Saccharomyces cerevisiae S288C: one gene and its partners. The gene in region 1 interacts genetically with each later gene. Each region holds a gene or a part of one and is shown in the gene's direction. Other genes may lie near its edges.

Region 1 (7,360 bases):
AGCGGGAAAGGATGTCGACAATCGCTGGAAGGTTGGCGACAAAGTGAATGGTATGTACAGTCATATTTATGGTGAACGTGGTACTTTAACACACTACTTGATACTCAACCCTGCCAAAGATGTACCCATCACACATATGGTGGAGGTTCCAAAGGACGAAAATGACCCATATGACGACTTTGTATATGCTGCTGCCTGGCCCCTAACATTTGGTACAGCCTTTTCTACATTATACGATTTCAAGAAAGATTGGACTTCTGATTCGAAAGTTCTGGTTATTGGCGCTTCAACCTCTGTGTCATATGCTTTTGTCCATATTGCAAAAAACTACTTCAACATCGGCACTGTTGTTGGCATTTGTAGCAAGAATTCCATTGAACGCAATAAGAAATTAGGATATGACTACTTGGTTCCCTATGACGAAGGATCCATCGTTGAGAATGTTAAGAAATTAAAGCAAAGCGTGTTGGAAAACGACAAATTTGACATGATTTTTGATTCAGTGGGTAACCATGATTTCTTCCCTGTCATTGATCAATTTCTAAAACCTAAGGCGAAAAATTCCTTTTACGTTACAATTGCAGGAAATAACAAGGCCGATTATAAGAATATCAGTTGGAGAGATTTCGTATCATTGAGTTCTATTTTAAAGGCTATAAACCCATTCAAAAAATACAACTGGCGCTTTGGACACCCTTATCCCCCCAACAACTTCATTGAAGTTGGCAACGAAATGATCAAGAAGGGCACTTATAAGCCACCTATTGATTCCGTCTACGAGTTTGATCAATATAAAGAAGCTATTGACAGACTGATGTCCAACAGAGCTAAGGGTAAAGTGGTTGTTAAGATGAAATGAGGGCAATATTTTCCACATAAACTTGTTAGTATATTTAGTTAAACTCTATAATTATAATTGTTATTAGTTTTTGTATTATTTGATGGGCATTACCCGACCGACTTGTCATGAAGTGAAAGAAAAGCTCATCACAATATTTTTAAACAGAATTTAAGATGCATTAGCTGGCAAACTACGTTTCAAATATACAGCTCAGCTAGCCCAAATTCTCTCTGCACTCTCAATAACATAGCTTTTTAAAATGGCAGACCTTCAAAAACAAGAGAATAGTAGCAGGTTCACCAATGTTTCTGTTATCGCGCCCGAATCACAGGGACAACATGAACAACAAAAACAGCAGGAGCAGCTGGAGCAGCAAAAGCAGCCAACGGGACTGTTAAAAGGTTTAAACGGGTTTCCGAGTGCACCACAACCGCTGTTCATGGAAGATCCGCCTTCTACTGTCTCGGGAGAACTGAATGATAATCCAGCGTGGTTCAATAATCCAAGGAAAAGAGCCATTCCAAATTCAATAATAAAGAGATCAAATGGCCAATCTTTAAGCCCCGTACGTTCTGATAGTGCAGATGTACCTGCGTTTTCCAATTCCAATGGATTCAACAATGTCACTTTTGGCTCTAAAAAAGATCCACGCATCCTTAAAAACGTATCTCCAAATGATAATAACAGTGCCAACAACAATGCTCATAGTTCAGATTTAGGTACGGTAGTTTTTGATTCTAATGAGGCACCGCCCAAGACCTCCTTGGCAGATTGGCAAAAAGAAGATGGTATATTTTCAAGTAAGACTGACAATATTGAAGATCCTAATTTGTCTTCCAACATAACCTTTGATGGAAAGCCTACAGCCACACCTTCGCCTTTCCGTCCACTAGAAAAGACCTCCAGAATACTTAATTTCTTCGACAAAAACACGAAAACAACGCCGAATACTGCGTCAAGTGAAGCTAGTGCAGGGAGTAAGGAAGGGGCCTCGACGAATTGGGATGATCATGCCATTATTATCTTTGGATATCCAGAAACGATTGCGAATTCTATTATACTCCATTTTGCTAATTTCGGTGAAATTTTAGAGGATTTTAGAGTGATAAAAGATTTTAAAAAGTTGAATTCGAAAAACATGTCAAAAAGTCCGTCATTGACTGCTCAAAAATATCCCATATATACAGGAGATGGATGGGTCAAGTTGACTTACAAATCCGAACTTTCCAAATCTCGTGCTTTACAAGAAAATGGGATTATAATGAATGGAACATTAATTGGCTGTGTTTCGTATAGTCCGGCTGCTCTCAAACAATTAGCTTCCTTGAAGAAATCGGAGGAAATTATAAACAATAAAACAAGTTCACAAACTAGTTTAAGCTCAAAAGACCTCAGCAATTATAGAAAAACAGAAGGAATTTTTGAGAAAGCTAAGGCAAAAGCAGTTACTTCAAAAGTGCGCAATGCAGAATTCAAGGTTTCCAAGAATTCTACTTCCTTCAAAAATCCACGCAGGCTTGAAATAAAGGATGGTCGTTCATTATTTTTGAGAAACAGAGGGAAGATCCACAGTGGTGTCCTGAGCTCGATCGAGTCTGACTTGAAGAAAAGGGAACAAGCGAGCAAGAGTAAGAAAAGTTGGTTAAATAGATTGAATAATTGGTTATTTGGATGGAATGATTTGTAATGAAAAACCTTACCCCCAAATGTAGTGCTTTGGTGCGATTCCAGCATCCTGTGATGTTCACCTACTTCAAGGTTATATAATTTTGTGTGTAGAATTGTAAAAAGGATGGATAGACAGTTCTTGAGATAAAGCACAGTTATTTTGGTATCACATCATCGGAGTATTTTTCAATTCTGATTTTTTGACTGGACCCAACAAACAACTCCAATTCATCCAATTGTCCTTCCGTAGGTAAACAACTGGAAATAGGTACACTTCTTTCTATCATCAATACAACAATGTTAGTACGAGAGACTTCCAGATCAGGTATAACGATGCCCCCAGATGGACATGTCCTATACTCTTGACATTCATAAACACAGAGAGCTGATTCAGGCTCGAAAATATTACATCGCATCCTTAATCGTGCTGATGATTCCACGGGTACTACACGTATAAAAAGTTTGTTCGTAGAATACTTTTTGGTTGGCAAAGTCATCTGAATTTTAAGTTTGTCTGAAGTTTCCTTCCAATGGAACCTGTTGCGACAATGATATGGATAAGTACCGTATATCAAGTTAACACTCCGTAAAGTTATTCCAGATATTAACCTCCATGAAGAGGATAACCGTATCGAGGCAAGTAATTCAAATTCCGTTGAGGCTGGAGGGCCGTAAGTTGAGCATACAATCATATATTTGACATTAGTTAAGATGGGCACGTCTTGTTTAAGGCCCTGCCCGGGCTGATAGTGGTTATCAAACATTATTGGCTTTATCAATTCATAGTCATTAAAGTAATATACTTGGATGTTAATTAAATCATGTGAGCTAGTTGAGATACATGCGGCGTCCATAAGTACTTGATAATCTTGTTCAGAGTGAACTTCCAACTCAAAAGTCGGATTTTGAAAAAAATTACAAGTATCAAATGAGGCTTTTCCCTCTATTTCATAAGGAAAAGAGAAAAGGACTTTGGCAAAAAGACTTTTTGTATCTTTCAATCTTTGAAAACATATTTCCTTCACAACTGAGAAAGAGTGAATACTGAAATTGTTGTTTGTTGTTGAATAACAATACAATAACCTCTCAGTCTCAGCATCTAATCTCAACTTTACCAGCTGAAGTCCAATGTGATTGCCACCGCATTCTACTGGAGGTTCAATTGGACAAATTATGCATTCGGGAGCCTCATTCAAAAAGGAAACTGACCGATTTTCTTGGCTGCCTTCATCTTGCAAATGGGATTCTAGCAATAACCATACCGTCTCTGTCACTTTAGAATTGTTTACCAGGTGAAATAAAGGTTTATCTGCAACGATAGAAAATTTATTGTAGCGTGAAGTATCGTACCGAAAATGAAGTACCTGAGAACGTTTGAATAATTTTTCTTGGTTCCAATTAAGATAAAGTTGTTTGAAATTTTTTAAATACTGTTCATAGCTGATTTCAACATTTAGTGCCGAGTTCCTCGGATCTCGCAATTTTACTAGCCTAGAATCATATGTGATATCAATTATAGAGTAATCATGGTTCTCAACTAGGGGCTTTATCATGTCATTGGAACGATTCCCGGTGCCAGCGCCCATCAGACATAAATTAGATTTGTGAAACTTCCATAATTTTTCGAAAGGATAGCTGTTTACTTGTGTTATCTCTGGTAAGAAGCCACTTAAGCGGTAAGTATCTATACTAATATTTGAGCCATCCGTGGAATATGTTCCTTTAGAAACAAGCAGTAATGCAAGCTCTCCAATTTTGTCCGAAATATCGTTACTCTTTAAAGAAAGTTGTTTGCCATCCACTGAGGTTGGGATCTGCGAAATATCTACTGTCACTAGCCTTTTGTTGCTTCCGTTAAAACTTAAATTGACGTGATATTTAGTTGATGATATTTGTTTAATTAGAGGGAGATTCAAGTTCTTAGACCTAAGATTAATTAGAGAAGCAACTAATGAGCAATCTGGCACATCTCGGCATTGTTCTATTCCGCCTGAATAGTCTTCTTCATTCTGTAACTTGGCTCTCCCTGGATAACGCCTTTGTAGTTCTTCAGTACCAGGTGCGCAATATTCGGTTTTATTCCAAGAAACCGGTGAGGCTTCTGAGATAGGTATAGGGGGATAAAACCTTGAATTAATAGTTGAAGTAAGCCATAAAAATCTTAATTGTTTATCTACTTTCGACACATTTTCTTTCAAAACTAAAACGGCCTCAATAAAAGTGGAATCTTCGCTTTTCATTGCCAAGCCAACCAATCTATTAATTATACTGCTTGAGTCACCTTCTGCATTACAATATATTGACTTTATCGCGGCATTGAACTCATGCCAATCATTCATTTTTGATACCACAAGGTTCTTGTCTTCGACTGAAATGGTCGAGTAACCGTTTAATAAGTTGTCTAGAGTTGATTATTGTGGTCCGTTTATGCCGACTAAAAGAACATTTAACTGTAGTATCATAAAATCAAAAAGGGATAAATATCCGCAAGAATACAAGAAAGAAGAAGTATATATGTTTTCTTTAAAATTTCAGAGCATAACTTGAGCCATGAAAAACCACTTCTCCTCAAGTTTATGTTGTTCCTCTATTTCCTACAGAAATATATTTACATTTGGTCGATATCGAAGATCTGGAGATAAGGTAAATAAATCCTGCGCGGTTCAAAGATACTCGATAAACAGCAACCAATGTTTCACAGAGTGCCATGGTAAAGAAACACCAAAATAGTAAAATGGGTAATACAAATCACTTTGGACATCTCAAAAGTTTTGTGGGAGGTAACGTGGTTGCCCTTGGTGCTGGAACACCTTATCTTTTCTCATTTTATGCTCCTCAGCTACTGAGCAAGTGCCACATACCTGTTTCTGCCTCAAGTAAGCTATCCTTCTCTTTAACAATAGGAAGCTCACTGATGGGAATTTTAGCAGGAATAGTTGTCGATCGAAGTCCTAAACTGTCCTGTCTAATTGGTTCAATGTGTGTTTTCATCGCGTATTTGATTTTGAATTTATGCTATAAGCACGAATGGTCTAGTACTTTTCTCATATCGTTAAGTTTGGTACTCATTGGATATGGTTCTGTCTCAGGTTTTTACGCTTCTGTGAAATGTGCAAATACAAATTTTCCTCAACACAGGGGTACAGCTGGGGCATTTCCTGTGTCCCTATACGGTTTATCGGGCATGGTGTTCTCATATCTTTGCTCAAAGCTTTTTGGTGAGAACATCGAGCATGTCTTCATTTTCTTGATGGTTGCGTGTGGTTGCATGATTTTAGTAGGCTATTTCTCATTAGATATATTCTCTAATGCAGAAGGAGATGATGCTAGCATTAAGGAATGGGAGCTTCAAAAAAGCAGGGAAACAGACGATAATATAGTACCGTTATATGAGAACAGTAATGACTATATAGGTTCACCTGTGCGTTCATCATCCCCTGCTACCTATGAAACTTATGCATTGTCAGACAATTTTCAGGAAACGTCAGAATTTTTTGCACTTGAGGATAGACAGTTATCAAATCGACCATTGTTATCACCTTCTTCCCCACACACAAAGTATGATTTCGAGGATGAGAATACCAGCAAAAATACAGTGGGCGAGAATAGCGCACAGAAAAGTATGAGATTACATGTATTCCAAAGCTTAAAATCTTCAACATTTATTGGTTACTACATAGTATTGGGTATACTACAAGGCGTGGGTTTAATGTACATATATTCTGTGGGGTTTATGGTACAAGCCCAGGTTTCTACTCCACCCTTAAATCAATTACCAATTAATGCAGAAAAAATTCAATCATTACAAGTAACTCTCCTGTCTCTTCTTTCATTTTGCGGCAGATTATCATCTGGGCCTATATCAGATTTTTTGGTCAAGAAATTCAAAGCTCAAAGACTATGGAATATTGTCATAGCATCGCTTTTGGTATTTCTTGCATCGAATAAAATATCCCATGACTTCAGCAGCATTGAAGATCCTTCTTTAAGAGCCTCCAAATCATTCAAGAATATTTCGGTATGCTCAGCGATCTTCGGTTATTCTTTTGGCGTTCTATTTGGTACTTTCCCCTCCATAGTAGCAGATAGATTTGGCACAAATGGGTATAGTACGCTGTGGGGTGTTTTAACGACTGGTGGTGTATTTTCAGTGAGTGTTTTTACCGATATATTAGGTAGAGATTTCAAGGCAAATACAGGAGATGATGATGGGAACTGTAAAAAGGGAGTGCTTTGCTACAGCTATACTTTTATGGTTACGAAATATTGTGCCGCTTTTAATCTTTTGTTCGTTTTGGGGATAATTGGATATACGTACTATCGAAGAAGAGCAACTGCAAATTCCCTGTAGACGGTGTCATCCTGACATTGCTTTCATATTCTTTTTCACCATCACAAATGAACATTTTAAGAAATATTACTATATACTGGTATATATTCAACATTTTACAACGGACTACCCGTGAAATATTTCCTCAGGGTACTTGAATTCAACGTGCAAGTTTTCAGCAAACTTTATGTCAGAATCACTGAAGTCCTTTTTCCTCCCAGCAGCGTCACCGCAATAATATATCCAATTCAACTTGATGGGAGAAATTTGTTCTGAAACCCTGTATGCACTTTCCAGGTCCCTTTTAAAAAACTCTACCATTCCTGTCATTGGTTTTCGAACTTTTTCGAATATGTTAGGATCATTGTTATAACTTTCACCTAAGCTTGCGAATGTGATCTTACTATGATTTGCTGCAAAAGTTTTCGGCCTTTTAGGTGCTGCATATAGCCATAACCTGTGTGATAACGTTTCTCCTCTCTCATCGTTTTTGATTGCCTTTAAAAATAGCAAAATTTTAT
Region 2 (10,916 bases), on another chromosome or scaffold:
AGTATGTTCCGTATATCTAATAATAGGACCTTCGTCAACAATGGAAACCCAACAACTGTCAGAAAATTGGCATAATCATCAGTTATTCTAGTAATATTTACTAGTCAGTGGGTGTTAATTGATTTTTATTCCAACGAAAGGGTGGGTATGTTTGAAAGTTTAATTGTTAATTAATACTTCAAAAATGCTTACCCATGGCAGTTACAGAATAGTTAGGTGTAATAAGAAGCAGAAATGCAAATATAAGAATGTCGTTAAAACACTATATATATGTATATATATACAACGATCTGAGATTAAACAATGTACAGGAGTGGCAAAAACAAAATCGGCAACATTTTCCTAAGTCAGAGCTTGGTATATAATGGTGAGCCAAATAAGAAATCCGACGCCTCCAATGCTGGCCGAGACTAAGCATAGACTAGTTGTCACTGTTATACATAAATCAACCACACCTTGTGCCAGACCAGCCTCTATCGTTGTTGCAGCGACTACTCTACTGATCCGTGAGAGCACCTCCTTCTTTTTCTTTTGTTCCTCTGTCAATTCCCCGCCCTTCTTGGCAACCAGATCATACTTATTCAAGAGGCTTTCAAATTTCTTTGTTGAAACGGTCTTGAATTTTTTTATGTACTTGAACGGAGATATATTTACTGCTCGGTTTAGGCCCTTAGTTAGCTTCCCTGTTTCTGTTTCAAATGTGTTATTGCCAACAGTTTCCATTTGGATTTCCCTTGTTAGCATATTCACCTTGTTATTCAATATACCATTTAAACCCTTTAGAATAAAAGAGTGGTTACCATACATATCTTTAACTTCCTCTATTTGTCTCTCGATTCCAGATATTTTTTCATCAACACAGACAGAACTCTGCGAGTAAGCAGCCAAGACCCTTAATGAGTTGACCAGTTTGGTTCCGGTACTTTCGAATTCAACCACTGCTCTACTACTTGCTAATACAACGGTAAGCAAACACAACTGGATCAGAAAAATCCTTTCTATCATTTGTACTTTCATCTTATAGTTTTGTGACTATGGCTGTGATTATGATTTTTATTGGAAAAGCAAAAAAAGTACTGTAGAGACAATTAGAGATATATGACCCATAAAAGAGAAGTTAAATGATCGAAGAGTATACAACTCTATAATGTAATCTGTATTAAAAAAGATTTTCAGAAAGGTTTAATATTGATCTTCATTTGGGAGGAAAACAAGAGATTTACTTCGAGCAATTTTGGAATATAAAAATGATTTACTTTATGTTCGATAGAAAACCCTAGAGTGATTTTGTGTCTCTTCTAAACGCACCCTGTGGTAAAAAATAAAGGAAAAAAATGATTTCAAATATGACTAGGTTGTGGCGCCAATGATCAAGTTTTTTTTTTTATGAATTCTTTTTTGTGGTCACAACGACAAATTATTATCACCGATTTAGTGTCATTTTTTTTCATTTCTCTTAAGACTCGTGTACCCTTTTCCAAAGGCAAAGGCCCTGCGAAAAACAAAGTAGAAGGGAAAAAAATTACTAAGATACAGTGTAAGCTATGCTATGTATTCAATCCCCCTTTTTGTGGTTTTCTCATTCAAGCAGCTAATTATAGGGCTACGCATTGCCGCAGAAAAGGCACCTATGGTGAATGTTGTTGCAATCGGCTTAAATAATTGTGAAAATATGGAAGATATGTCTTGCAGAGATTAGTTTGAAAAAGTACTACAAAAATAATTTTTATACTCAATTATACTACTATCCAATACATAAATATTTATTATCTTGGGATAAAAATAAAAGAATTATTTTTTTTGCTTTTTTAAAGACTATAAAAGTGTAAACTGTCAGTAAAAAAAATAGACACCACAAAACAATAAGTGAAGATAAAAGAGCCTAGTGAAGTAAACTAATTCAAATGAGGTTCCAGCTTTTCATATATTTTTATTTCACCATTGTTGTGATTGCAGGAACTAACACAATACAACAGTTCAGCGATGCGGGCGATAGGTTAATCACATCATTGAGAAATCTGGACAACAATGGAACATACGAAACATTGACAGCAGAGAAGGTGCCTATTATCGAGGGACAAATTCAAAACATTAGTGCAAAATATGAGCAGCATACTTTTATTTTGAAGGGCTTAGAAGCGGTGCTAAATTATAAAGTGAAAAGTTTGGATAATAATGAGAGAGAGTCGCTCGAAATAGAATATGAAAAGGTGGAAAAGGCACTAGATGCGGCTTTGAATGTTTCACCATTTGAATATATCAAAAAGTTTAAAGAAGTCTCCAGGGGCAAGGTAGTTAATGCTTTAGAAAACCTCAGTAGAGAACAGAATCGAATTACTATAAATGGTGGTAGAGAAGACGAAAAAGAAAAAGAAGCGAGGGAAAAAAAGAAACGACTAGACAGAATAAAGAGAATCCTAACTGTAAGTCTGTTAGAATTGGGTCTAGCTCAAGGAGTGGCCGATTTATGTGCAGTAGCACCTTTTGCGTGTCTTCTTGGGGTGACAGTTGGAAGCATCGGTTTCATATTTTGGTTGGCACTAATATATAATGCTATTCAATAACTTGAACAGTTGTACTAAGGCAGTTTAAGTCCATTATACTGTGCGCATGCACCGGCATAGCTGCCGCCGCCTATTCATCCATGACTGTTTATATTTCTGTAGCTAGCTCTCTTTTCATGAAGCGCCATATATATTATTTTTTGAAAGCTGAAAGATAGAAACTATAAATAAAATAAAGCCGAGAGAGAGAAAGACCCAAATAACCTTTAATATTATAGCCTTTAATAACAATGGAATTACAACAATTATCTAATTATTCACCTGCATCCCAAAAATATTAGTCGTAGCCAAGATGAACCAATCGATGTGTGTTATATGTACCTCTGCTTTGCAGTATAAGAAATTTACATTTATTTCTGACTAATAACACCTTGGTGCCCCAACGGTAAACAACTTGTATCAGTTCTCATAAGTGCGGCCATTTTATGCAATACAGGCTGCATTATTTCACCAGCCGTGAAAATCCGAAAATTGTAGTAATTGAAAGCGTAATTAGGTTTTACTATAATAAAGTAGTAAAACCTTCAACAAATAGTAGCTCGCGTGGCGTAATGGCAACGCGTCTGACTTCTAATCAGAAGATTATGGGTTCGACCCCCATCGTGAGTGCTTTGTTTCTTCCGTGATAGTTTAATGGTCAGAATGGGCGCTTGTCGCGTGCCAGATCGGGGTTCAATTCCCCGTCGCGGAGATTTTTTTGGCTACTCCTGTAGTTATTCTTCATTAATGCTTTGTTAACCTTCCTTAGCATTAAATGCAATAGCAGCGGCTCTTCAAAGAATATGAAGTTTATTGGCGTATAATCAAGTGATAGCATTCACAGCACCGTGTTGTTAAGGGGCAATTTACGAAGAGTCTCAGTTTATGATAGTATATACACGTTAAGGTCCCAGCAAGAGCGTAGTATTTCACGTAAATATTCTCTTTTGGGTAAAGCACTGGTATACATATATAATAATAATTAAACTGAAACGGCTCACGAGTCTAGTGAGCCCATTCTAACTACGGTCTTCATCAAAGTCCTTCTCGGGCCGGGTAGTATGATTCCGTTTTCGTCTTTTGATGAAAATAAATTTTCTGCTGGAAAATAACAAGGTTAGTTTGTAAGTGTGATGTAGTATTTAGTAAATGCGCCCATTGCCTTTCAACTAGTTTACCAATACCTTTCTTAGCCACTTAGTTTACACTATACTTAATAAATTATTTCCTCAGGGTACGCCAATTAACAACACGCCTCCTAAGCACGAAATATATATAACTTATATCACTTGGCATCTAACCTAGTTGAAAAGATTTGTTCCGCAGATAAGAAAAAATGAAATGGTCTGCAATTCCTTTCCAAACATTGTATCGCTCTATTGAGAGTGGTGAGTTCGATTTTGATCTGTTCAAAGAGGTACTTCCTGACTTACAAAATTTGAACTTAAACACAGACAAACTAAAAAACAATGCTAGCCGATCACAATTAGAAAAAGGTGAAATTGAACTATCCGATGGCTCTACTTTTAAGGTCAATCAGGAGTTTATTTTCGAAGCTATTTCTTTGTCCGATGAATTAAACTTGGATGAAATTGTTGCATGTGAACTTATACTTTCTGGTGATACCACCGCTAATAATGGCAAAGTACAATACTTTTTGAGAAGGCAATATATCCTGCAAATTGTTTCTTTTATAGTCAACTGTTTCCACGAAGATACTGAGTTATACCAAGAGCTTATAAAGAATGGAGCTTTAGTTTCTAATATCCTCTCAGCCTTTAAGTTCATTCATACTCAATTATCTGAGATTAAACAACAAATCAATAAGGCTCAGATACTAGAAAACTATAATGCTTTATTCCAACAAAATATCAAGTTTAGGAGAGACTTCTTACTGAGAGAATATGATATTCTGAGTCAAATTTTATATGGTTTAGTGGATAAAGGAGCCATCATGAAAAATAAGGATTTTATACTGTCCTTACTTCATCATGTGTCAGAATTGGATTCCAATGATTTTTTTATAATATATTATACTCCTGCATTTTTCCACCTTTTCGCATCTTTAAGAGTTTTGCCCGATGCAGATGTCAAATTATTACATTCTCAGTTTATGAAAGACTTAAAGGACGACTCCATATATACCAAACCGGTCAAAGTAGCTCTTATTTTCATTTTTTTTGCTTACTTCATTGGGTGGTGTAAAGAAGACCCTAAAAGAAGGGCTGACACGATGGATTTCAAAACTGATGTTGATGAGCCAATGACTTCTGCCGTCGAACTAGGCGCTATTGAACAAATTTTAATATTTGCCGCAGATACATCTATCGTGGAACAAGACAAGAGTATGGAACTTTTCTACGATATAAGGTCCCTGTTAGAAAGGCATATTCCAAGGCTAATTCCTAAACAGTTACTTGATGATGAAAAAATTTTCAGTCAAACGACGAATTCTACCTACAACCCAGCATCCGCAACTGATAATATGAGCGGACGCGGCTTATGGAATCCGTCTTATCCTGGGATGATGTCAACCACGGGTACCGCTCGACTAAATAGTATGCCCAATAACGTCAACGAATATTCTTACACTACTATAGTTTTATCCGATCAGACCCAAGAATTTTTCCTCTCATCCTTTGATGATGTGCTTCAAACTATTATTACAGATTGTGCCTTTTTGCTTACAAAGATTAAGGATGCTGAGGAAGACTCTTTGTTGTCCGGTGAAGACTTAACTTTGGATGACATCTCACTAAAGGCTGACTTAGAAAGATTTTTTCTGTCAATATATTTTTTCTATGCATCAAGGCCCGAATATTCATGTACTTTCTGGTCTGATAAGGAATCAAACGCTTATGGTTTTATTGAGTGGTGTTCGAGATGCAACGACAACTTGATGAGGTCTTGTTTCTATTTGATGGTTTCTAGCTTGTCCTTTGGTCCTGAAAATGCCCTGAATGTCTATCACTATTTTGGCGAAAACAGCTCGATTTCATGGAAAAACATTGCACAGTGTCTCAGTGACTACACTAAGAAAATAAGCAATTTTAACTCGAGCCTCCATAAGAGGCAGCAGTTTAGTGAGTCAACTCATAACGATATCGATTCGACTGCGGTAGCCTTAGAAGAAGGCTTAAATGAAGAAGCTGTAATATTTCTGTCTTCTTTATTAACTTTAGTTGGATCAGTTACATACCAGGTTGACGAGGATGTAAAAAGCTCGCTATCGAAAGTTTTCTCAGATGTCCTATTCGAATTCACCAAGATAAATACACCTCTCGTAGGCGCTGCTTTCAAGGTTATAAGTAACTTGGTTCCAAAACTTGAATCTTCTAGAACAAAATTTTGGTCTTTTCTAGACTCTCTAATTTTCAAGGATTCATCGCTGAATTATTCATCCGAATCTTATAGAAATGCTTTTACAAACGTGTTAACAAAATACTCTGACGTTTTGGGGTTTTTACAACTCTTCCATAATCTGATTTCTATTCATTCTCGTGAAAATAATAGTGAATACATGGTTTTTGGCAAATTGGCATTTCCAACAAGATTAGGTCAGGGATATAGGAAGGTAGGTATATGGCCATATTTTGACTACATTTTCAACGACATTTTAGCGCACGTGGATCAAATTGTTGATATCAGAAATAAAAGAGCCGTCCAGCTTCCTATTTTGAAAATTATCTATACGGGCTTATGCTCTTTTGATTACAGTGTAATTTTAAATTCTATTCCTGCAGCTGCGAATTTGGATGCTTTGGTGGATTGCGAAAATTTCTTCAATTACGTTCAAGAATGCCCAGCTATCCCCATATTCAACTATATTTTCACGGAAAAGATTTACAAAAGTATATTTAATGTAGTTGATGTTGGTGTTGATCAATTGTCCATAGAGTTAGAAGGTGGCAAAAATCAGGCTGAATTGTTGCAGTTAGCTGTGAAAATTATCAATAAAGTATTGGATTATCAGGAGACATACGTGGAAGAATTATTTCCAATTGTTAAGAAGCATGGCAAGACGGATTATTTCTTGCCAAAGAATTATTCTCTTCACGGATTACGTTCATTTTACGATGCAATTTTTTTCAATATTCCACTTGTTGCACACTTGGGTTTATACGTCGGGGTCGATGATCAAATTTTAGCCACAAATTCACTGCGTATTTTGGCGAAACTTTCAGAACGCTCTAATGGCTCCGTTGCGTCTTTGTCTAAGAGAAATAAGTTGTTAACAATATTCGATTCCGTAGATGAATCAGCCAGAATAAAGGATGCATTTATTACACAATTGGAAAGCTCAATAACCGACGCTGGTGTCCTTGCTTTGAAGTTAGAACTATTAGATTTCTTAACATCAAATCTTTCTAATTATAGTCGAACGATGACTATTTCTCATCTGTTATTAGGTTTCCAGGTCTCAAACGTTATATCCCTGGGACCTAACCTAGCAACATTTATATCTTCCGGAACCTCATTACTTGATTCCCTCATAAGCGTGTTGGAAGCTTCATTGAACAGCATTACTAAGGACAATATCGATTATGCACCTATGAGATTGGCTACAGCAGCACTGGAAATTATTCTCAAACTATGTCGTAATCCGTTAACATCTGGTCTACTATATTCATACCTAATCAAAGAAAACTTTTTTGAGAGAATAATGATCCTCGATCCACAAGTGACAAGGTTCACGACATGGAACGGCTCTCCTTTTGACAATTCTACAGAGGAAAAATGTAAGAACTTCATCGAGAGCGAATCCGTTGGTGCATTTCTGTCATTCTTAGCCTACAGGAATTATTGGACACAATATTTGGGTCTGTTCATTCATAAAATTTCATTTTCGGGCACGAAATCAGAGGTTTTAACATATGTGAATTACTTGATATCAAATACAATGTATTCGGTAAGGTTGTTTTCTTTCTTGGATCCATTAAACTATGGCAATATCTGCGAACCAAAAGAGACGTTATCAATTTTCACCAATGTTCCTTTAAATTTGGAACAAGTCACTCTTAACAAGTATTGCTCCGGCAATATCTATGACTTTCACAAAATGGAAAACCTTATGCGCCTGATTAAAAGAGTCCGTGCTGAAAGCTTACATTCTAATTCCTTCAGTCTCACTGTGTCAAAAGAACAATTTTTGAAGGATGCAGATGTCGAGTGTATAAAAGCAAAAAGCCATTTCACGAATATTATATCAAGAAACAAAGCATTGGAGTTGAACCTATCTGTGCTGCACTCTTGGGTACAGTTGGTGCAAATCATTGTTACTGATGGAAAATTGGAACCATCAACAAGATCAAACTTTATTCTGGAGGTTTTTGGTACAATTATTCCGAAGATTAGTGATTATATTGAGTTTAATATAACTTTTTCAGAAGAATTGGTTTCTCTCGCCGTTTTCCTATTTGATATATATAACCGCGATCGTAAGTTGATTACCGACAAAGGCACGGTAGACGGCAGGCTATATCAGTTGTTCAAGACATGTATTCAGGGTATAAACTCCCCACTCTCCTCTGTGGCATTAAGGTCCGATTTCTATATATTAGCAAACCATTATTTGAGTAGAGTTCTAAGCGACCAAGTAGGGTCCGAAAAGGTTCTGCAGGATTTGAGACTAGGAAGTAAAAAATTGGTAGAGATCATATGGAACGATGTTGTTTATGGCGAGGGAACTAGTAGGGTTACAGGTATATTACTATTGGATTCACTTATTCAACTGGCTAATAGAAGTAAAGAGAATTTTATATTGGATTCACTGATGAAAACTACAAGACTGCTCTTAATAATACGTTCGCTGAAAAATACAGATGCTTTGTTAAATTCTACTACAGAGCACATAAACATTGATGATTTGTTATATGAATTGACAGCTTTTAAAGCCACTGTATTCTTTTTAATACGTGTTGCCGAAACTAGAGGTGGAGCTAGCGCTTTAATTGAAAATAATCTATTCCGAATAATCGCGGAATTGTCATTTTTAAAAGTTGATCCTGATTTGGGTCTAGACCTTATGTTTGACGAAGTCTACGTTCAGAATTCCAAATTCTTAAAGGTTAACGTCACCTTGGATAATCCGCTACTAGTTGACAAAGATGCTAATGGTGTTTCCTTGTTTGAGTTAATCGTTCCTATATTCCAATTGATATCAGCTGTTTTAGTGAGCATGGGGAGCTCAAACAAAGCTGTTGTTCAAACGGTAAAGGGTTTACTGAATACGTATAAGAGGCTAGTGATCGGAATATTCAAAAGAGATCTTTTGAGGGAAAAAGAAGATAAGAAAAATTCGTCGGATCCTAATAACCAAAGTTTAAACGAAATGGTGAAGCTAATTGTGATGTTATGCACATTAACAGGATATCAAAATAACGATTAAGTCATTCATTATCACTTTTAAGAATTACTTTTAGGAATCGATTTCATTTTGCAAAATATTTGGTTGTGTACTAAGTACTAAGAAGAAACTATCACAAAAAGTGGCTTTTAGTTTCATACACTACAGAAGCCTTTCTTTGGTTCTGATTTGGTGCGTATTTACTGTCTAATGAAATAAAAATCCAGGTCGTTTACAGATCGGCACGACACATTACAAAAACTTCTTGAAAAAGGAAAAAAACAAGTATGATTGAGGTGTTAAATTAATTGCAGGTTCTGAACCATCGCGTACATTTTGATACCTATATATAATTATTTAATATAGCACATCCTATGTCAAATAAGTGTAGAATAGAGGGAATTTTTTCTTTTAGATCATTTCTTTATCGAGTTGATTTGTTTTTCCAGAGAGGTGGAGTTATCGTCTAGTGACCTTAAAGCGTCGAAATGTGAATTCAAGATTTTGATTAGTTGAATATTTTCGTCTTCATTGTTTATATCGATGTTAGTGGTTTTGTTGAATGTATTACTAACATTGTTGATTTCTACTATTAGAGAAGAAAGATTGGATGACAACGAGTTTAAATTTTCGTCCAAAGTCTGGGCTGTCTTATAGGCCTGTTGTCTTTTTTGGTCATTATTGTTGGCCGCAGCACCTGAACTTGTAGACACAACATCGGACAGAAGTGCCTCTGTCTTGGTTTCAAAATTGTCTAAGAAGTTTTCTAATTCATCCTGTTGCCTCTCGATATATTGTAGAGATTGATCTATTTTGTTTTGACTATGTTCCGCCATCACAGCATCTGAGTATAACTGACTAATTTGTTCACCTCCTTTCACTAGTACCTGATCCCAACTATTAATTTTTTTGGTATACTGTTCAAAATGAGAGGCCGATTCTGTTAGTTGGTTAGTCCATTTCGTTACTAAATCGTCCAGTGTTTTATTGTCGAGAGAAACTGGCTTCAATTCTACTGGTTTAGAATTTAATTTCAAGCTATCACTTGATTTGACATCTGCGGTTGACTTCCCCGTAGAAGATTCCTCTGTTTTCTTCTCATTATCTTTTTGAGCACCAAAAGTAAACGCTGGCTTGCTCGTATCACTGGATTTCTGTTCTTCGGGTTTAGCACCAAAGGAAATGGCAGCCTTCGCCCCATCGCCTTCCTCCTTTCCTGTAGGCTTAGAACCAAATGAAAAGGCTGATTTTGATTCATCACTTTCTTTCTTTTCGTTAGCCTTTGCTCCGAATGAGAAGGCAGGCTTGGAGACTTCATCATTCTTCTTTTCATCGGGTTTAGCACCGAATGAGAAGGCAGGCTTCGAAGAACCACTGTCCTTTTTTTCATTCGATTTAGTACCAAATGAGAAGGCAGGCTTCGAAGAATCACTGTCCTTTTTTTCATCCGATTTAGCACCAAATGAGAAGGCAGGTTTAGAGGCATCGCCATCCTTTTTCTCATCGGACTTTGCTCCAAAAGAGAATGCCGGCTTGGAAGTTTCATTGTTATTCTTTTCCGCGGGCTTGGCACCAAAGGAAAATGCTGGCTTAGCCGTTCCATCTTGCTTGTCTTCATTTGATTTGGCACCAAATGAGAAAGCTGGTTTTGAGGAATTATCATCCTTCTTTTCTTCTGGCTTAGCGCCGAATGAGAAGGCAGGCTTAGAAGTAGCACTAGCTTTATTTTCATCCGGTTTAGCGCCAAAAGAGAAGGCAGGTTTAGAGGCATCACCATCCTTTTTCTCATCAGACTTTGCTCCAAAAGAGAATGCCGGCTTGGAGGTTTCATTGTTATTCTTCTCCGCGGGCTTGGCACCAAAGGAAAATGCTGGCTTAGCCGTTCCATCTTGCTTGTCTTCATTTGATTTGGCACCAAATGAGAAAGCTGGTTTTGAGGAATTATCATCCTTCTTTTCTTCTGGCTTAGCACCGAATGAGAAGGCAGGCTTAGAAGTAGCACCAGCTTTATTTTCATCCGATTTAGC
Region 3 (5,995 bases), on another chromosome or scaffold:
TTTTTTTTGTTCTTCGAGATTGTCTAACAAAACAAAATAAAAGTATACGGACTAAAAGTAAATAAAAAAATATCTTTCATAATATAAAGATATGCATATATACAAATAGCGGGGAAGTATTTTAAACTTTATAGGCAAAAATCTCTTTAAAAAGCTTTGCACAATGAACAGACGCACCCATTCTTGCACACAAAAGAAAAATGCCACTAAATTTTCTATGTAACGAGTATGTTTCCTCTGGTGGCGGACATAGTCTTTCATTCAACATTAACCCGATATTACCTCTAATCCTGTCTGAGACTGTTTGATCCTTGAAATCGAAAGATTTATCTACATCACCCCTAAAAGGTTCACCAAGTGTAAGTACACTATCGACGTGCGCGTCTTTCATGGACTGCGATTCTAAGCCTGTGAGATAGCCCAGTTGTACAGACATTTCGTACGCCCCTTTCCTATCTCTCAATGTGGCGTAAGTTAAAAGTTTTCTATATTTTAGAATAAAATCTTCTGCAAAAGGTCTGGAGGCACCGAAATCCAATAATTCAATTTTCTTTGTCCTACCGTTATAGAGGAAATTTGCCCAATTAGGATCCGTTTGCATATACTTGAAAGTGGCAATTTCTTCCAGACATAGTCTCATGATATTCTCCGAAATAAAATTTTTGGTTTCTTGTGATGCCTTGGGCAATTTCATTATTTCAGTTCCCTCCATACGTGTCATAGTTATAATATTATCGGTTGTATATTCAGGAAACACATGAGGAACCTCAAACGCTGGGTCATCCTTTAGCAACGCCTCAAACTTTTGTAGAGCTCTAGCCTCTCTGTTGTAATCACATTCCCATTTTAACTCAGTTCTAGCGTTGGCAATTGTCTTATCCAAAAATAATCCCTTCGGTAATAAACTTGAGGCTGTAAGTAACATTAGTAAACTATTCAAATCCGAATCAATGGATTCTTTAACCCCAGGATATTGAATTTTGACAACCACTCTTTGACCACTGGGCAACTCTGCCGCATGTACCTGTCCGATACTAGCAGCTGCCATAGGTATCTTGTCAAATTTGGAAAACTTTGTCTTCCAATTAGCACCTAATTCCTTGGCCATAACCTTTTCCAATTGCCTTTGAGGCATATGATTTGCACTATTCTGTACCCTTGATAAAATTTCGTATAATTCCTTTGGCAACACTTTCTCATCCTGAAAAGACAATAGTTGCCCTATTTTAAGGGCAACACCTCTCATTTTAGAAAATTTATTGGTAATTCTGTCAATATTCGAATCTGATAGAATCAAAGATTTCCAAGTGGGAGAATTGCCCTTTGCAACTTCCGATATGCCTTTTGCTGCGGCATTCATGCCCACCCCTGCTGCCAGTGAGCCATAATGGAACAATCTCGATATTCGTGAAGTTGGTACACTGGAACTTTTTAATGTATCCTTTTTTTCCTCCTCATGCTTCCTTTCTACGTTTTCTTCACCTTCTTTGGCAGATTTTGTAGTATATTTCTTACTCAACGATATTGAAGAAACAGAAGAAATTCTCCCGTTCTGTATAGTTCTTAAGAGACGGGATGAACAATACAATCTCCTTAAATTCCTCAATTTCACCATATTTGTAACCATATCGAACGATATCTTAGCCGAACAGGTCCCAATAAGGATGCCAAGGAAGCGTACTGAGTACAGTACCAGAAAGATCTTAACTAATTAAGATCATCTAAAAAAGTACTGGGTACTATTACAGATCTAAAGCTTTACAAATGAATATTACCCGGATCATAGTTTGCTGACTGATAGTATATAGTTATGGACAAATTTCATCATTTTCCAAACTAAGGTCGTTTAGTTTTACGCTCTGTATTCGTTTGCTGTTTCAACTGACAGTATCATTTCGGAGTCCCATAAATCTACCAGATTGCTTTTTATTGATCTAGCGATCTTATACACAAGTCCTTTTTTATTTCTTTTTCTTTTTTTTCGGTGCCTCTGAAAAATTTTCAAATGCGAGATGAGGTGAAAAGAAACTTATTCAATTGTAATATTTAACACGTTTACGGGGATGCGATTGAGTAACGATAGTATAACCTTATAAACGCGCATAGAAAGATTAGGACTGCAAGAATAATAATGGGTTCCAAAAGAAGATTCTCGTCCGAACACCCGGATCCAGTTGAGACCTCTATTCCTGAGCAGGCCGCCGAGATTGCGGAAGAATTATCCAAACAGCATCCTCTTCCATCCGAAGAGCCACTTGTCCATCATGATGCTGGTGAATTCAAGGGCTTGCAACGTCACCATACTTCAGCAGAAGAGGCCCAAAAACTTGAAGATGGAAAAATAAATCCATTTACCGGTAGGGAGTTTACACCAAAATATGTTGATATCCTGAAAATTAGAAGAGAATTGCCAGTACATGCCCAGAGAGATGAGTTTTTAAAACTTTATCAAAATAACCAGATTATGGTTTTTGTTGGTGAAACAGGTTCCGGTAAAACGACACAAATTCCTCAATTCGTTTTATTCGATGAGATGCCACACTTAGAGAACACTCAAGTTGCATGTACTCAACCTCGTCGTGTCGCAGCAATGTCTGTTGCACAGAGAGTTGCTGAGGAAATGGATGTCAAGTTGGGCGAAGAAGTTGGTTATTCTATCAGATTCGAAAATAAAACTTCTAATAAAACGATATTGAAGTATATGACTGATGGTATGTTGTTGAGAGAGGCAATGGAAGACCATGACTTGTCGCGTTATTCATGTATCATTCTGGATGAAGCGCACGAACGTACACTAGCTACTGATATTTTGATGGGTCTTTTGAAGCAAGTAGTCAAGAGGAGACCTGATTTGAAGATAATTATTATGTCTGCTACTCTGGATGCAGAGAAGTTCCAACGCTACTTCAACGATGCTCCATTACTTGCCGTTCCGGGCAGAACATATCCAGTTGAGCTATACTATACACCGGAATTTCAAAGGGACTATTTAGATTCTGCCATTCGTACTGTTTTGCAAATTCATGCCACTGAAGAGGCTGGCGATATTTTGTTATTTTTAACTGGTGAAGATGAAATTGAAGACGCTGTCAGAAAGATTTCCTTAGAAGGTGATCAATTGGTTAGAGAAGAGGGATGCGGACCTTTATCCGTATACCCACTGTATGGTTCATTACCACCGCATCAACAACAAAGAATATTCGAGCCTGCTCCAGAGTCACATAATGGTAGACCAGGCAGGAAAGTTGTTATCTCCACGAACATCGCTGAAACTTCTTTAACAATTGATGGTATTGTCTACGTCGTTGACCCAGGATTTTCAAAGCAAAAAGTTTACAATCCAAGAATTAGAGTTGAGTCTTTACTTGTTTCCCCTATCTCCAAGGCTTCTGCCCAACAAAGAGCTGGTCGTGCTGGTCGTACAAGGCCTGGTAAATGTTTCAGATTATACACTGAAGAGGCATTCCAAAAGGAACTGATAGAGCAAAGTTACCCAGAAATTTTACGTTCCAATTTATCCTCCACCGTTCTAGAACTAAAAAAATTAGGTATTGATGACTTGGTCCATTTCGATTTTATGGATCCACCGGCTCCGGAAACAATGATGAGAGCCCTTGAAGAACTAAATTATTTGGCATGTCTGGACGACGAAGGTAACTTAACACCCCTAGGTAGATTGGCATCCCAGTTTCCCTTGGATCCTATGCTAGCGGTGATGTTAATTGGGTCCTTTGAGTTCCAATGTTCTCAAGAAATACTAACTATAGTGGCCATGCTATCGGTTCCAAACGTGTTTATTCGCCCAACAAAGGACAAGAAGCGAGCAGATGATGCCAAGAATATCTTTGCTCATCCAGACGGTGATCATATCACCTTACTAAATGTATATCATGCGTTCAAATCGGATGAAGCTTATGAATATGGTATCCATAAGTGGTGCCGTGACCACTATCTAAATTACAGGTCCCTTTCCGCTGCTGATAATATCCGCTCCCAATTAGAAAGATTAATGAACCGTTACAACCTAGAATTAAACACTACAGACTATGAAAGCCCTAAATACTTTGACAACATCAGAAAGGCTCTTGCGTCTGGGTTTTTCATGCAAGTAGCAAAAAAAAGATCGGGAGCTAAAGGATACATCACAGTTAAAGATAACCAAGATGTTCTGATCCATCCTAGTACGGTTCTTGGCCACGACGCAGAATGGGTCATTTACAATGAATTTGTGCTCACATCGAAGAACTACATAAGAACTGTGACCTCGGTCAGGCCCGAATGGCTGATTGAAATAGCGCCTGCATACTACGACTTAAGCAATTTCCAAAAAGGTGATGTCAAATTATCTTTGGAAAGGATCAAGGAAAAAGTTGATAGATTAAACGAGTTGAAACAAGGTAAAAACAAAAAGAAGAGTAAGCACTCCAAGAAATAGACATTTTGTGTCGAAAAAAAAAAAAAAATAGATTTATATAAATTTATAGGACTATTTCATAGAGAGAAAATTCAACTAGAAATAGGTACACGTAACCTAAAGCTGCTTGTACTAAAATCATAGCGCCCTGTATCAAAAAGAAGCTTTTTTCTTTTGTTGGGTATGTCTATATAGAGCACATCCTATATTCCCTTCGAGGTGTTTTTACAAGAACAAATAAAGAAACAAACCGCGGTGTGAGGAAGTTCCCTTAAAAATGGCAAAGATTACCGTAAAGGTAAATTACTCCTTTAACGATGCTTAAAACGAGCATCTTACTCTTGCAACGAAATTAATCACTCAATTTCAACGAGGATGTTGGCTTCCCATCAAAGTAGTTTTGGGGTAAACCGCATATATCTGTATATTAAGAAAACTTATTTTCCACTATCTAATTTGAACTACAGAGAAGATAAGAAATCTTTTAAGTAGCAATCATGTTTTATCTAAGTGACATCGAGGAAGAAGCCTCGGCTGGGGCTGAACCAACTTATAATTTCTGGGAAGTTTTGTTATTCTCCAATACTCAAGAAAACCTCGTCACCGTTGTCGGAGAGTTGCACACACTTACCGATCGTGTGGTTCATTACAAAATTGAGCCTGAATCAAGGGAAGTTACTGCCACAACACTGCCATCTTTGTTAGCACTTTTGCTAGAAAAAAGGAACCAGGCGAGACGTTTATATAGGGATGTGCTTTCAATGAAAATGTCAGAACTGGACTGGGACATCGACGATTTGTTCACACAGTTACAAGAAGAGCTAACAAGAACTGATGACACTCTTTCTATGTATCCTAGGAGAAGGTTCTATCACTAGCTTGCTCAACGCGACCTTATACACAGAGTTTAATGTGAAGAGAACATTCATATACAATTATATAAACATTGTTGTATTCTCGTACATCGTTACACAAAATACGAAGCGGGGAAATAGTGATATTCGCTTCGCTGGTGGCAAATGGGAAAAATACAAAATTTTACACATCTTTCTTCCAAATACTTCCATAAAACATCTAAATATAGTGGTTTCTAATTATCTCTGATCATAAGGAAGTGGAAGTACATCAGAAATGTCTCAAGAACAGTACACAGAAAACTTGAAGGTTATCGTTGCCGAAAAACTGGCTGGTATACCAAACTTTAACGAAGATATCAAGTATGTTGCGGAGTATATTGTCTTATTGATCGTTAACGGTGGTACTGTTGAATCTGTCGTAGACGAGCTGGCTAGTTTGTTTGATAGTGTTTCGAGAGATACGCTTGCAAATGTTGTTCAAACAGCCTTTTTCGCATTAGAAGCTCTGCAACAGGGAGAAAGTGCTGAAAATATTGTTTCCAAAATTAGAATGATGAATGCGCAAAGCTTGGGACAATCGGATATCGCACAACAGCAACAACAGCAACAACAACAACAGCAACCAGACATCGCGCAACAGCAACCTCAACAGCAACCTCAACAGCAACCTCAACAGCAACCTCAACAGCAACCTCAACAGCAACCTCAACAGCAACCTCAACAG
Region 4 (7,122 bases), on another chromosome or scaffold:
ATGTTAGCTGCTACAATGCTGGGCCAGGGAAAAAATGTGTATCAGGCAGAAATCGACTGTATCACGGAATTATCTGACTTTTTTAGATACTATGTCAAGTATGCATCAGACTTGTATGCTCAACAACCCGTAGAGTCAGCGGATGGTACTTGGAATAAAGCTGAATACAGACCTTTAGAGGGATTTGTGTATGCTGTTTCACCATTCAACTTTACTGCTATTGCTGCAAACTTGATTGGGGCTCCAGCTTTGATGGGTAATACAGTTGTCTGGAAACCTTCACAAACCGCTGCCCTTTCAAATTACTTATTGATGACTGTTTTGGAAGAAGCGGGATTGCCAAAGGGTGTCATAAATTTCATTCCAGGTGATCCAGTTCAAGTTACTGACCAGGTATTAGCTGATAAAGATTTTGGTGCCTTGCATTTTACCGGTTCTACAAATGTCTTTAAGAGTTTGTATGGCAAAATACAAAGTGGCGTTGTTGAAGGGAAGTACAGAGATTACCCCCGTATTATTGGTGAGACAGGTGGTAAAAATTTCCATCTAGTTCACCCAAGTGCAAATATATCACATGCAGTACTCTCTACTATTAGAGGCACTTTCGAGTTCCAAGGCCAAAAGTGCTCTGCCGCTTCCAGGTTATATCTTCCAGAGTCAAAAAGTGAAGAATTCTTATCCGATATGTTTGGCATATTGCAGTCACAGAATGTTGTCCCAATGAACACATCCGCAAGTCCAATTTCTGGTGGGAATTTGCGGGGATTTATGGGTCCTGTCATCCATGAACAAAGTTTCGACAAATTAGTTAAAGTAATTGAAGATGCAAAGAAAGACCCCGAGTTGGAAATTCTTTACGGTGGACAATACGATAAAAGCCAAGGTTGGTTTGTCGGACCCACAGTCATAAAAGCCAAGAGACCAGATCATCCATATATGTCAACAGAATTTTTTGGCCCTATATTAACTGTTTACGAGTATCCAGATACTGAATTTAATGAAATCTGTGATATTATCGATAATACGAGTCAATACGCCTTAACTGGTGCTATTTTTGCCAAAGATCGTAAAGCAATTGAATACGCAGATGAGAAGTTGAAGTTTAGCGCAGGAAATTTCTACATAAATGATAAGTGTACTGGTGCCGTTGTTTCTCAGCAATGGTTTGGTGGCGCAAGAATGAGTGGTACCGACGATAAGGCTGGTGGTCCAAACATTTTAAGCAGATTTGTCAGTATTAGAAACACAAAGGAGAACTTCTACGAGTTGACTGATTTCAAATATCCATCGAATTATGAATAAAAAAATTTTTGTGGAATAGAACCGCGAATGCAGTCACTTCATCCATCAACTCATGTAAATGTTAGATTATCGAAAAAAGGGTTTTGATTACTTCATTAGGTTTTTTTAGTTTTACAATTTTAATTTATCTAGGTAAATAGTTTAAAAATATTCATTGAACCAACCGTCCAAATTCCCGTTCTATATTCTGTCATGACTTACTTATTCACGTTGCTATTTATTCGCCGCATATTCATTCTGTTTTTGGCATAAGGACCCGTCCGGAAACAGAACATCAATTTATTAAATACGTCCATTCGTAAGCTTAAAGATGGAAACTTTGGCGAGCAGTCCCTGACAAGAAAAATAACAGCAAGAAATAATGATTTTAACCACAGCTAGATTAAATTGTAGACCAGTCACCGTTCCTCGTCTATTTAATCGTTCTTTTAGTCAATCTTTCATAATTTTGAAGAAAAAAAGTTCTACCCCTACTGAGAAAGTCGAAGAAGATGAAATTGACGTGAATGAACTGCTGAAAAAGGCAGAAACTCAATTCAAAAAAACTTTAGAAATTCAAAAACAGAAAATGAATGAGATAAAACAGGGAAATTTTAATCCTAAGGTATTCAATAGTTTAGTGTTCAAAAATAACAGAAAGTTTACAGATATTGCTACCACATCCTTGAAAGGTAAAAATGCACTTTTAATAACAGTTTTCGACCCCAAAGATGTGAAAACTGTGATCAGTGGGGTGCTTGCTGCGAACCTGAATTTAACTCCTGAAAGGGTCCCAAATAACGATTTGCAATTGAAAGTTTCGTTACCACCACCAACTACAGAATCCCGGTTAAAAGTAGCTAAAGACTTAAAGAGAGTATTTGAAGAATATAAGCAGTCATCGCTAAAAGACTCATTAGGAACTATCAGAGGCAGTATTCTAAAGGAATTCAAAAGTTTCAAAAAGGATGATGCCGTTCGAAAAGCTGAGAGGGATTTGGAAAAACTGCATAAGGATTACGTGAACAAGCTTCATGACCAATTCCAGAAAGTTGAAAAAAGCATTGTAAAATGAGGAATTTCGTAACGTGTATAGAATCAAAAAATCATAAATCTTGTACATAAAAAGTTCATTTTATATAATAATAAATACCAAATTATTGATAAGTTTGTTGCTTCCTCTAAAGTAAACTAGCTGGCTTCTTTAGCTAAAGAGAACAGTGACTTTATTCTTTGCCATGTGGAATTTGTATAAGCTCCTACGATGAAACTCTTTACAAAATTCCAAGCCTTAGCATTGTTACGAATAGGGTAGTCTAATGGTTTTGGAATTTGAGTGGAGACAAAAGGCAAAGTATCAAAACAGACACTTTTGGCATTGCACAAACCCAAAAGACCTTCTTCACCACCAAATTTACCGTAACCTGAACCATTGATACCACCAAATGGTAATTGACAAACATAGAATGTAGCAAAATCATTAATGGCTACATTACCAGTTTGTAGGCTATTTGCGACGTAATTGCATTCCTTGATATCCGCACCAAACACAGAACCACCTAGACCAAATGGCGCAGAGTTGGCTAGTTGTACACAATGGTCAGTATTCTTAGCTTTCATCATGACTAAAATTGGGCCAAACACTTCGTTTTGTGCTATTTTCATTTCTGGAGTGACATCCACCAAAAGAGTTGGTTGGAAATAATGACCTTGTGGATACTTTGGATGTTTGAAGCGGGAACCACCTTGAAGTAAACGAGCTCCCTTTGCAACAGCATCTTTAACCAAAGCTTCTAGTTCATCGAATCTGTTGTCAGATATCATTGCCCCCATATCAACATTTTCTAAATGATCAATATCAGACCCTTGGCGTAGTGGATTTGCAGTCATACGGTCATTCAAAATCTTGACTAAATCATCATAATTTTCCTTACTGACAATAACCCTCTCAATACCAATACAATTTTGACCGGATGATTGGAAAGTACCCCTCATGATGATAGAAGATAAAGCATCTAAATTCTTAGCTGAGTCTAGGACAATAAACGCATCCTTACCACCAAGCTCCACAACTACGGGTGTCAATGATTTGGCAGCGCATTTTAGAATATAGTGCGCTACGGGCTGACTGCCAATAAAAGTGATATGTTTGAAACCAGGATGAGAGGTGAAATAATTTGCGGAATCATCATTTTCAGTTGGAGGTAAACAATAGCACAACTGAACCAAATCTGGATCTTCATCACAAGCTTCCAAACATTTGCGGATCAGCTCGACGAAAAATTCCGAAGACCAGACAACTTGTTCTGAACATTTTACTACAATGGCATTCCCTGTGAACAATGCTGCAATAATTGGACCCAATAAGTTATGGAATGGATAGTTCCAGGAAACGATAGAACTGATCACACCCAGTGGTTCATAACGGATTTCTGCACCTTTATACCACTTCATGAAAAAATTAGTGGGGCCCGGACGTCTCGAAGGTTGCAACGCTCTTTGGCCGTGCTTTATAGTCCATTGAATTTTTTCTAAAGTAACCAAGATTTCACCCATCGATGCGTCTAACATTGTCTTTCCTGAATCCCTGCACGCTACTCTCGCAATAAGATCTTGATTATTTAGAATATAATCATGCAAAGAAGCCAAAACTCTCAATCTTCTTGAGAAATCAGAATTGCCCCAAGTAGATTGAGCTTTGCCTGCCTTAGAAACCATTTCATCTATGTCAGCTTCCGTTTTCGATGGAAAAGAACCTAGATATTGACCTGTGGCGGGACAATGACATTGAATAAAGTTTGGTTCTTCAGGATTCCATATGTTAGTGGAAACAGACCTCTTGCCCTTCCAATTATTTTGAGCGGCCTCTGGTGCAGGAAGGGAGAATTTGACTGGCTTATAGGACGAGGAACACTTTGCTGGGGTGGAGATTATCTTGACCAAAACATACAGAGTGAAAATTGAGGCAACTAGCGTTGTAATGCCTATCAGTTTTTGGTTATCTTGAATAATTTGGGGTTGAGAACGCATTATTGCGTTTTGCTTCTCCAACCATAAGTTAAAGTAAGCTTGAACTGTGGAGTTCAAATGGTTAATCATGTCTGAATTCAGATAGACCTTGGACATGATGAATAAACGTTCGATAAAACAGAGGAGAAACTGAACGTGAACTGTGAAAAGAATTCTACTATTCTGCAAATACTATTATAATTATATAGTAATCCCCATCGGCGTTTAGTATTTTTCGTTAATAAAATAAAAATAGAGAGACCATACTTTCTCCTTTACAACCGATATACTAAATAACACATTTTTGATTATACTACTACTCGTTTAGCAGATAGAGAAAAAAAAAAAAAAAAAAAAAAGGCTGAATGGATAAAGCGAGAGTCGTAAAGACCGAATGCAATGTCAGTTTATACATTTTTATTCTATTGGTATTATATTATAAAAAGATATATGATTAGAAAACTAGAATGTAATGCAATATTACAAGGCATTGATATGGACTTCAGCAGAAGGCTTGATGACAGTCTCGATCAAAATTTTGACAACGTCATCCTTTTTCTTCTCTGCAATTTTCTTAATCTCAGCTAATTCACCTTGCACACCAGCCTCTGCTTTCTTTTCCAATTCACCAACACCACCGGCATTCTTTTGTTCAAACTCCTTCAATTCCTTGTCTTTTTGAATTTTGTATGAGTCGATTTCCTTGGCTGCATCAGTCTTGGCTTGCTTCAACTTATCTTGTCTGTACTTTCTAGCCTTTGATACTATTTCGTGGGCTTCCTTTTCAGCTTGTAGTAGGGTGGCAATTCCGTTTTTTTGGGACTAAAGAGAATATTACATAGTTCTGAGCAACAATGAAAAAACCAATACCTTTGTCACGAGGTACCAGTCCAACAAGAGAGCACAGTTTTAAAAAAGTTTTTCATGTTAGTAAGAACGCTTGTTAGAGACAGAAGTGTTGACACGTAATGTAATGGCACATACCATTCTGCTTTGTATACCTTGCACACTTTGGAGATTGCAGGAAAAAAAAAAATGTATTGTTTAAGGTGTGATTGCTTTATCTATCACGCTCCCTTTTAGAGATGAAATTTTTGATACCCAAGGCAGGGTAACAAATTGAAAAAAAAAAAAATTCGCGGTAATAATAGTGGATGTCAAAGTTCATATTCGATGAGATGAGCTGGAATAGGAGTCCAGTTAATAGGGAAGGGTGTGGCAATTTGCAAGTATGGCGGTGTTGTGTGGTGTATGCGGAATAAAAGAGTTCAAATACAAGTGTCCAAGATGTTTGGTGCAAACTTGCTCTTTGGAGTGTTCCAAGAAGCACAAGACAAGGGACAATTGCTCAGGTCAAACACATGATCCTAAGGAGTATATATCGAGTGAGGCGTTGAAACAGGCGGACGACGACAAGCACGAACGAAATGCTTATGTCCAGAGGGACTACAACTATCTGACGCAGTTGAAGCGAATGGTGCATGTACAAAAGATGGATGCTAGAATGAAGAACAAGCGGGTTCTGGGGCCTGTGGGCGGCCACAACTCTAATTTCAAGAAGAGAAGATACGATATAGATGAGGATGATCGTGATAGCACGGAGTGTCAGAGGATAATTAGGAGGGGGGTGAACTGTTTGATGCTACCCAAGGGGATGCAGCGATCATCGCAAAACAGGAGCAAGTGGGACAAAACGATGGACCTATTTGTATGGAGCGTGGAGTGGATTCTATGTCCTATGCAGGAAAAGGGTGAGAAAAAGGAGCTTTTCAAACATGTCAGCCACCGTATCAAAGAGACAGACTTTTTGGTGCAAGGGATGGGCAAGAACGTTTTCCAAAAATGCTGTGAATTCTATCGCTTGGCTGGAACAAGCTCTTGCATAGAGGGCGAAGACGGTTCGGAGACCAAAGAGGAAAGAACACAGATCCTACAGAAGAGTGGGCTCAAATTCTACACGAAAACGTTCCCTTACAACACCACGCATATAATGGATTCAAAAAAACTGGTGGAGTTGGCTATACATGAGAAATGCATCGGAGAATTGTTGAAGAACACCACAGTGATCGAGTTTCCCACGATATTCGTTGCCATGACAGAGGCTGACCTACCAGAGGGCTACGAGGTGCTACACCAGGAACCCCGCCCACTTGAGCATACGAGTACACTGAACAAGTTTATTGACAATGCAAGGGAGGAGGAAGACGCTGAAGAGGACTCTCAACCGACAGAAGAACCTGTACAGAAGGAAACACAGGACGCCAGCGACAGCGACAGCGACAGCGACGATGACTACAATCCGGGCTTATCCATGGATTTCCTCACTGCATGAGCCGAGATACATAAGGTTGAAGATTACTATTTAGACTATCTATCTATACGTATACACCGCAATATACAAACAGAAAAAAAAAAAAAGAAAAAGCATTCGTAAGAACTCACAGCTCCAGAGCACGAACATACTGGTACGCCAAATCACATATTTCGTTGCTGGTGTCCGGCCCCAACGAGTCGGATGAGGTTTTGTACTCCTTGGCCCGGATTTCAGCTAGGTGTCCTTCGATGCCTGCAATCTTGGTCTCAAACTCGCCCGCTTCGTCCGCCTGCAGTTCTATCAGGAGACCCTTGAACCCAGTGGAGGAGAAGAGGTTGACGAGTCGCACGGTGAGCCCGTCCAAGATCAACGTCTCACCGGCATCACCCTTGATGAGCTGCCTCTGCATCCAGATGTTGGACAGCTTGGACGACAAAATAGTGTCTATGGACTCAGGAACGCCCGTAGATGAGCCATTGAACACCAGCGCCGGAGGGATATCCGCCGCTGCGGCAGTC

Evidence for each region.
Region 2: mutations in YMR155W (region 1) and NUP192 together harm fitness more than expected from each alone (negative genetic interaction), as found in Saccharomyces cerevisiae (one large-scale study listed by BioGRID).
Region 3: mutations in YMR155W (region 1) and GPG1 together harm fitness less than expected from each alone (positive genetic interaction), as found in Saccharomyces cerevisiae (one large-scale study listed by BioGRID).
Region 4: mutations in YMR155W (region 1) and BCD1 together harm fitness more than expected from each alone (negative genetic interaction), as found in Saccharomyces cerevisiae (one large-scale study listed by BioGRID).

The regions. Positions count from the first base shown.
Region 1 is NC_001145.3:563,335-570,694, forward strand, and holds YMR155W (uncharacterized protein), read left to right. Parts: upstream 1-5,216; coding exon 5,217-6,860; downstream 6,861-7,360. Other genes in the region: YIM1 (Yim1p), read left to right, coding at 1-859; FG-nucleoporin NUP53, read left to right, coding at 1,101-2,528; RIM13 (Rim13p), read right to left, coding at 2,665-4,848; TPP1 (polynucleotide 3'-phosphatase), read right to left, coding at 6,966-7,360.
Region 2 is NC_001142.9:366,763-377,678, reverse strand, and holds NUP192 (Nup192p), read left to right. Parts: upstream 1-3,879; coding exon 3,880-8,931; downstream 8,932-10,916. Other genes in the region: IRC18 (Irc18p), read right to left, coding at 343-1,017; LOH1 (Loh1p), read left to right, coding at 1,905-2,564; FG-nucleoporin NSP1, read right to left, coding at 9,306-10,916.
Region 3 is NC_001139.9:280,074-286,068, reverse strand, and holds GPG1 (Gpg1p), read left to right. Parts: upstream 1-4,911; coding exon 4,912-5,292; downstream 5,293-5,995. Other genes in the region: protein kinase COQ8, read right to left, coding at 122-1,627; DEAH-box ATP-dependent RNA helicase PRP43, read left to right, coding at 2,132-4,435; mRNA-binding protein NAB2, read left to right, coding at 5,546-5,995. UniProt on the Saccharomyces cerevisiae protein: Gamma subunit of a guanine nucleotide-binding protein (G protein). G proteins are involved as modulators or transducers in various transmembrane signaling systems.
Region 4 is NC_001140.6:182,403-189,524, forward strand, and holds BCD1 (Bcd1p), read left to right. Parts: upstream 1-5,521; coding exon 5,522-6,622; downstream 6,623-7,122. Other genes in the region: PUT2 (1-pyrroline-5-carboxylate dehydrogenase), read left to right, coding at 1-1,302; RRF1 (Rrf1p), read left to right, coding at 1,664-2,356; MSC7 (meiotic recombination directing protein), read right to left, coding at 2,473-4,407; VMA10 (H(+)-transporting V1 sector ATPase subunit G), read right to left, coding at 4,771-5,112, 5,275-5,277; SRB2 (Srb2p), read right to left, coding at 6,729-7,122. UniProt on the Saccharomyces cerevisiae protein: Required for box C/D snoRNAs accumulation involved in snoRNA processing, snoRNA transport to the nucleolus and ribosome biogenesis.